2 linked regions of the Tribolium castaneum genome follow. Each later gene encodes a partner of the first gene's protein in a complex. Links are inferred from orthologs where the notes say so. Each region holds a gene or a part of one and is shown on either strand. Other genes may lie near its edges.

Evidence for each region.
Region 2: osa (region 1) and brm share a complex: the UniProt entries of both Drosophila melanogaster proteins name them as parts of the brahma complex. The link is inferred for Tribolium castaneum from reciprocal best matches to the Drosophila melanogaster genes osa and brm.

Annotation. Positions count from the first base shown.
Region 1 is NC_087403.1:4,031,031-4,034,039, reverse strand, and holds part of osa (trithorax group protein osa), read left to right. Parts: intron 1-1; coding exon 2-380; intron 381-871; coding exon 872-1,431; intron 1,432-1,491; coding exon 1,492-1,657; intron 1,658-1,718; coding exon 1,719-3,009. UniProt on the Drosophila melanogaster protein: Trithorax group (trxG) protein required for embryonic segmentation, development of the notum and wing margin, and photoreceptor differentiation. Required for the activation of genes such as Antp, Ubx and Eve.
Region 2 is NC_087400.1:7,722,444-7,727,072, reverse strand, and holds the start of brm (ATP-dependent helicase brm), read left to right. Parts: upstream 1-1,527; 5' UTR 1,528-1,637; exon of another isoform or gene 1,638-1,683; 5' UTR 1,684-1,770; intron 1,771-2,247; 5' UTR 2,248-2,251; coding exon 2,252-2,791; intron 2,792-4,105; exon of another isoform or gene 4,106-4,163; coding exon of another isoform or gene 4,164-4,312; intron 4,313-4,357; coding exon of another isoform or gene 4,358-4,509; intron 4,510-4,557; coding exon of another isoform or gene 4,558-4,629. Other genes in the region: uncharacterized protein LOC103314458, read right to left, coding at 567-701, 748-1,167, 1,217-1,495; uncharacterized protein LOC100141828, read right to left, coding at 4,164-4,312, 4,358-4,509, 4,558-4,629. UniProt on the Drosophila melanogaster protein: Transcriptional regulator. Acts as a coactivator, assisting one or more dedicated transcriptional activators of ANTC and BXC homeotic gene clusters. Can counteract the repressive effect of Polycomb protein.

The sequences.
Region 1 (3,009 bases):
GGTTACGAAAAACAAAACATGGAAAGATATCGCCGGAATGTTGGGTATCGGTGCATCTTCAAGTGCAGCATACACATTGAGGAAACACTATACTAAAAATTTATTAGCTTACGAATGTCAGTTCGATCGAGGAGGAATTGATCCTCAACCTATAATAAATCAAGTTGAAGCAACTTCGAAAAAGAAATCAGCTAAAGCCGCCTCGGTGCCTTCACCAGGCTCTTCCAATTCTCAGGATTCTTTTCCGCCACCTGGTTCCGGCGGTACATCAATGGACGGATACGGTTACGGATATCCACCAGCTGGAAATCCAGAATATAATCCTCAACAGAGGCCATCTTCACAATCTAACGCGCCTTCTCCGCACGGAGGTGAGTCATGTTAGTCAATTTTTATTATGATTGGGGGGATGAAAAAGAATGACAGTCGGGCGTTTATCTTCAGCGACAAAAATTGTTATCTTTACTTTTTGTTTCGAATGCGAATGCGAATGAACAGTGTCACGAGCGGTGTTTAATTAAAGATGTTTCAACGGTATTATCAGTTATTATCTCTCGATGAAGGTATTTTTTATTTGAATTATTTATTTACTTTCGTTTTATCTATTTCTTATTCATAAATTAAACGTCGGTTTTGGCCATAAATATTTTATTGACTAAATTAATTTAAAACGATAAATAGCATGTATTATACATAACTATAGACTAAAGCGAATGATTCATTGTAATGGTTTACGCTGTGGAGCTGCTTGTTTCAGCGTGATTAATTTTTTTACTTGATTTTGGCGCTATTACGACCTTGAGATATTGTTTGATTTTTGTTTGTTTTCCCGGTTAGGAGGGTAGTATATATGTATTTTATATTCTCTTAGGTTCAGGAGGGGCTAATCATTTAAACAATGCCGCCCCTGGGGGTCCTAGCCCTGCAGGCGGGGCTGCCGACAACGTAAGCGTTTCAAACCCTTTTGATGATGTGTCTCCCAGTCCACCACCACCACGGGGTGGCCCCTTTCCAGGTGGACCGCACCCTCCTTATCCTTCAGGCACTCCACCTAGACCGCAGGGATTTAGCGGACAGGCTGGATACAATCAGTATCCAAGTCCTGGTCCTGGTGCTCCTCCAGATCAGTATTCTACGTACCCAGCTAGTTCAGGTTATCCACCAGCCGTTAGACCAGTGTATCCTCCATATTCAGGTGATTCAGGAGCACCGCCGCCGCCGAATCCGAACAATACACCACCTGGTGGTCCGCCGGCTGCCGGACAAGACCCATATTCACGTTATAATATGGTTGGTGCAGCTGCACCACCAACATCCACATACACACCGAGGCCAAACTACACAGGCGCACCGGGAAATACAGGGCCGCCAACCTCGCAACCGCCAGCCGGACCGTACACGACACAGCAAGATTATTACAGACCGGAACAGGTAAAAGAGTTGTACATATTTAAACATTTTTTGCTTTATTTTTTACTCGACTAATTACAGAATTATCCCAATCAGCAGGGTCCTTCGGCAACGGGTAATTATCCCGGAGGACCGCCGACTAACAAGAATATGCCACCGCCTGGACCGCAACCAACAAGGCGACATCCAGACTTCGTCAAAGATCAGCAGACCTATCCCTTCGGTCAGCAAAGGCCACATATTTATGGTACGTTAAAAATAATAACATTGGTAATTGTTTTGTTTTAATGGTTTGTTTTGTTTTATAGCATGGTCGAATAACAACCAGTACAGGCCGCCACAGCAGTATGGGGCATCTGGAGGTCCCCAAGTGGGTACACAGCAGTGGAATCAGGGAGGAAGACCGGCGGCTGGTGGTCAGTGGGATCGTTATCCGTCGGGTAATCAAGGTTATCAGCCTCCACAATCCGGGCAAGGGCAATGGTCTTCAATCCCAGCACCTGGTGTTGGTCAGAATCCACCGCTGAGGCCACCTCTTGGAGGTCCACGTCCTGGTAAACCGTTTACGATGATGCCACCGCAAGGAGGTAAAGGAAACCAAGCGACAACGTTGTCGAATAGTTCGTATTCGCAAAGTCAGTTACCGAAGAGAGAAATAACGTTTCCTCCTGATAGTGTTGAAGCAACATTGCCGGTATTATACAGACGTAAAAGATTATGCAGAGCTGACATTGGTCAAGTTGATCCTTGGCGTATAATAATGTGTTTGCGTTCTGGACTTTTATCAGAAAGCACGTATGCTTTGGACATTTTAAATGTTTTGTTATATGACGATTCATCCGTTGGCTACTTCGGATTGAATCAATGGCCTGGTCTTTTGGACATATTGATTGAACACTTCCAAAAGGCGTTAAGTGACATTTTTGATGGACCTTATCCACGAGAAGAGAAACCAGATGAATCTGACGTTGATTTGGGAGGTGTTGTAACACCGATTGATCCCAATAAAAAATCTGTTTTATTGCAAAATACAAACAACTATACATTTGTGACACGGAAAGGTTATCCTGTTAAAATGATCGATCGTAGCGAGGAAATCTTCATTCAGGATCATCAGAAAGACTGGGATGTGAAAGGTGATGCTACCGGTGCTAGTATTTTAGCTGAAATGACAACGGATCCTTGGCAATCAAGGACGGATCACATACTTCCAACGTTTCAAGCGGAATTTGGTCGAATACCGTTCCATCGACGTCTAGAAGATAAAAAGAAAGATCGCAACAGCAACAACAAGAACAACAGCAGGGAGTCAATAGAGGAGCGTCAACGAACACCGTCGCCGCCTGATGAGGCGCCACCGCCTCCTAAAACTAGTGACAAAAAACGTAGGACAAAGACATTAAGTGATGTGATATCTCGAATTAAAAAAGATTCTTCTTCAACTGAAGCGAACGGTGTGCTCACATTAGAGACGACAACTGTAACTGTAACTGAAAAAGTTAAGGCTGAGGTAGTAGTGAACTGTGAAGAACAAAGTGTAGATCTGAACGCAGGTAGTGTGAACGGGGAGTGCGGGAAAGATAATACTAGTAGTAGTAA
Region 2 (4,629 bases), on another chromosome or scaffold:
TACCATGTTCAGTTCCCACATGTGTGGAAGGTTCGAATCCCGGTCCTGGCAAAAAAATTTGTATTTTTTTTGTAAAATTTAGTAACACAACACAAATTGAAATAAACAAATAACGTAGTCGACCAATAAGTTAATTTACTTAGGCTGTTTAGTCAATAATATTAAAATTGACGCTAATTTTTATAATTCTAGCTTAGCGGTTCTCAAAATTTGTGACTTTAATTTCAGAACGATTTTTTGGAAAAACTATACATTTTTGATTGACATAAATTTTGCTAAATCGATTTGTTTTGCCATTTTCTATCTGCCTTTAAATTTTTGCTAAACCATTCCCTAACACGCTGTATTAAAATTGTTTCAATTTTTCGCTCGATAAAAAAAAACACAATTTGTTTCAAAATAGTTTATGATTTTTATTTCCATTCATAAAAAAACAGTCATAGTTGGTTGCATAACCGCAACTTATCTAAACTAATAAATACTTGTAAATGTTATTATTTTTTAAGGACAAGACAGTTTCGTAATAATCACAAAACTTATTAGAAAAATACAAAGTACAAAATATTTTATTTCAAGCTTTTGATTTCCCTACACAATTCTGCGAGCTCTTTTAACATTTCATAATTTCCATTTCTCTTTTTTTCAACATTTTCCAAATTTTCTCTCTTAAAACTGACAATAGTGTTCAAACTCTTCATAAACTGAAACAACCAATAAAACATTATCCTAAAACCCACAATAAATTACCTTAAGGAGCCGCTCGGAATTTTTACAGCACGATTCAATTACTTCCGAGGCATCTTCTGGAAAATTAATTTCATTCGGTTCCTTGTGGTTTACCAACAAACGTTGAACATTGCTCTTAAATTCGAGAAAATTGTCTTCGAGTTGTTGAGTCGAATCTTCCAGTTGCTGCTTCAAATTCGAATCAATTGAAAGGCTTTGATTTTGGTTTCGTGAGTTGAGAATTGCCTTTAGATCAGCGATTTCCTTGCGATATTCTTGAATTTTGGCGGCACGTTGACTGAGAGTTAGGGTTTGTTTTGATCCGTAAGTTGGGAACAAATTCGAATCAAAGTTCATCAAATCATCGTAGTTGTTGACATCGGAAGTTATGGTTTCGGGAACAGTTTCTAAAGCTTTAAACATTTTGCTCATGATGAAAAACTGAAAATCGAGTATATTGGATTGATAAGGGTGTACTTTAAATCAATACTTGTTTGCTGAGGTCACACTCGCCGTTCATGAATTGAAGGCTTTCCTTAGCATCATCACAAAATCCGTGACAGTAGATTATTTCTGCTAATTTTTCTTTATCTGCGTTCGCACAAATCTCAGCAAAACGAACATTGATTTGTTGCAGAATCCACGACACGAGAAACGATCTGTTGGGGGTGGAGAAAATGTCACAAATTTTGCACTCCTCCATTTCGTGTATTTGGGGATAATTGCGCTCTTTCAAGCACTCAATTATGAATGATAAATTTTCCTCCATCTCCACAATTCAAATTCCCCGCGCCGGTTGTGCAAAGCGCCACCTGTAACAACAACGCCATCTCTTTTTAGCCAATGGGAAAAGTGCGATAGAAATAAACGAAAAGAAAGAAAGCTTCTAGATCTAGAGCGTTGAGTCGATGGTAAAATGGCGTCTGTGATTTCAGCCTTTTAACTCAAAATTGTTAGCTTTTCAGTGCTTTTCCAAAGTAGGGAAAATGAGGAAAACGTAGTGCTCTGTTTGGAAAAACTCTGACTAGTGTTTGTGCAACGTAGGTAGGTCATTTATGTGGGAAAACCGACCGGATAAGAGGGATAGTCTTAGGTCATTGCATTGTAATTTCTCCGATCTGTTACTAACTGTATGAATTAGCGTTTTTTCCAAATTTTACGTAGTTTTTTAGCGTATTTTTCACTTACCTGGGTTTTCTGATGTTAATTAAGGGAAACACTACCGGTTCGATGCTCACGCGTAACCTTCAAGTGCGGGTAAAAGGCGGTTTAAATGACGTGAAGTGGGCCAATCAACGTCTGCTATTCCATAACTTTGAATTTGGGACGGTTTTTTGTTTTTTGATTTTCGAAAAAACTGACAAAAAGTTAAAAAATCAAGTAGGCGTACTTTTTGACATTTTGAGTTAAATAATAATGGTAGCACAAAAAAGGACAATAACAACAAATCACGCCACCTGATTGGCCAATTCGAAACAAATGAAGAAAACACGTTTTTATTATTTTTTTTTGTTTTTTTAGAAAAATGGCGAGTCCTTCGCCCCAGAGCAGCCCCATGCCGCCGCCGCAGGCGCCCAGCCCCATGGGCCCGCCGATTCAGAGCCCTGCGCCGCCCCCGTCGCCCCACAGCCCGTACCAAGGGCCGCCTCCGATGGGCCACGTGAACGGGCCGCCCCCACATTCCATGCCCCCGAATGCCCCCAACATGGTGCAGATGCAGCCGAACCCGGGGCATCACATGCCCCCGCAGCCGCACCCGAATATGCCCCCGCATCCGGGCATGCCGCCGCAAGGGCCCCCGAATCACCAGGGACATCCGCCCCCGCAAGGACACCATATGGGCGGGCCGCCGCCCCAGCAGGGACATCCCCAAGGGCCTCCCATGCAGATGCAGCCAGGGGGGCCGCCCCCGCAGGGGCATCCGCATGGCGGGCCGCCGCCCCCGCAAGGGCATCCCATGCAGCCGGGGGCACCGCCGCATATGGGCCCCGCGCATAATATGCAGCAAGGGCAGCCCTATCCGGGACATTCCATGCCCATGGGGGGGCATCCGCAGCAAGGACAGGTAATGAGATGAAATGACAGTTAAAATGCGGGAGGCCTTCTTTATTTTAATTTGAATATTCCATTTTTTTCAACGTTAGGATTCTATATATCAAAAATATTTGGTCTTGAGCCAAAAAGTCGCTTTTTATCTTTAAATATAGCCGTGATAGTAAGTAATAATAGCTTTATTTGCAAGTACTAACAATCTGTAAAAAGTACATATTCTTATTATGCCATATTTATGATTTTTTAATACTACATTTTAACAAAAAAGCACCAGTATAAGAAAATATCGCTCTTTTTAATGTAGGTTATAATAAAAGGTAAAGTCTTTTATGCGTAATTAATAATTATAAAAATGTTTTATCTTCGACTGTTCATAATTAGAAGCTTTATGTCACCTTGTAGCGGCCATAATGAGCCTCATTATGTACTAGTAAAATAAAATAGCAAAATTGGTCGCTGATATGAACAATCACTAATCAAATTTTAGTGCTGTCAGAGTAAACTTTGAAAATTCTATTTTTGAAATAAACTAAAATTGCATTGATAACAGGGGCTGGTTTAGTGAGGCGTCATTTTCATTTTGTTTGACTGTACTTTATTCGATTTGTTTTAACTCTTTTATTATTATTATTATTATCAGAAAGATAATAAAGTAATGTACTATTCAAAAGTGTGGATTGTCATTAAAAATATTTAAAATGGCTACATTTTCTAAAAAACACTGGCGTTATTAATGTTGTTATGGTATCAAAATGTAGAATTTATAAAAATTAAACCGTTATGTTGGTCAGTAACAAAGATATGAATTTTATGCGCTATTTTTTCCTTTTTTACATGAATCAAATCACCTAGGATTTTTTTAGAATTCTAGTTAACTCAGAGAGAGGTTTCGTTTCTAATGTAATAAAAAATTATGTTTAAAGTTATAAGATAGACAACAATGGGGCGAATTAAAAAAACAAGCTACAATATCTTGAATGGATTATTAATAATTGCATTTGATATTTTCGAGAAATGTTTCTTAGAAAATAATAACAATATAAATCAATCAAAATGTGCACCTTTTATTATTTCTCATGGCCAACAAGTCAAGCAAATGGCTATTTTAATGATAGTTATCTAATTATAATAGTGACACGTTAACTACTGGTATATTTGTTTTTATTTTGACCGTTTTTCTAATTAATAAATTATCGTCAAATTGTCATAAATTACCAACAATTTGCTTTTCAGATTGCATGAATACTTCAAAAAAATTTCACAGCGATTTCCTTGACAGTGTAATCCAAGGCCACCTTTATTTATCTATTTACAATAAAACAATTGATGCCGAACCAATTTCCTTAAGTTTATTGCATAATTATAATTACAACTAATAAAAAAAACTATTTGCATCCAACATTGGCCTTCTTAACCAGCAGTGCAGCCAATCTTTCGTCATCGGCACGTTTTTCGACTTGAAGGAACTGATCCAAAAGGGGCTTTGAGGCCGCTGCTATGAAATTCGGTTTCATGAGATCGAACTCTTTACCCCCTGAAACAGAAATTAGGGAAAAAACACAACAAAAAAATTTATTACAAGTGGAGTCGCCGACAGCCCCACCGGCCTCCGTTACTATCAAAACCCCGGCAGCGGCGTCCCATGGGTACAACCCATCGCACTGGTAGGCGTCCATTGAGCCCCGCGCCACGTAACACAGCCCCAAAGCGGCCGAACCCATCGAACGTATTCTACCAATAAGTTAATTAATAAAAGTAATTTATTGGGAGGGTTGGTACCCCTGGATCACCGCAATCAAGTGGGTCAGTCTGTACATGTATAACTCGCGGTGTTTTTCGGACCGGGCCAAG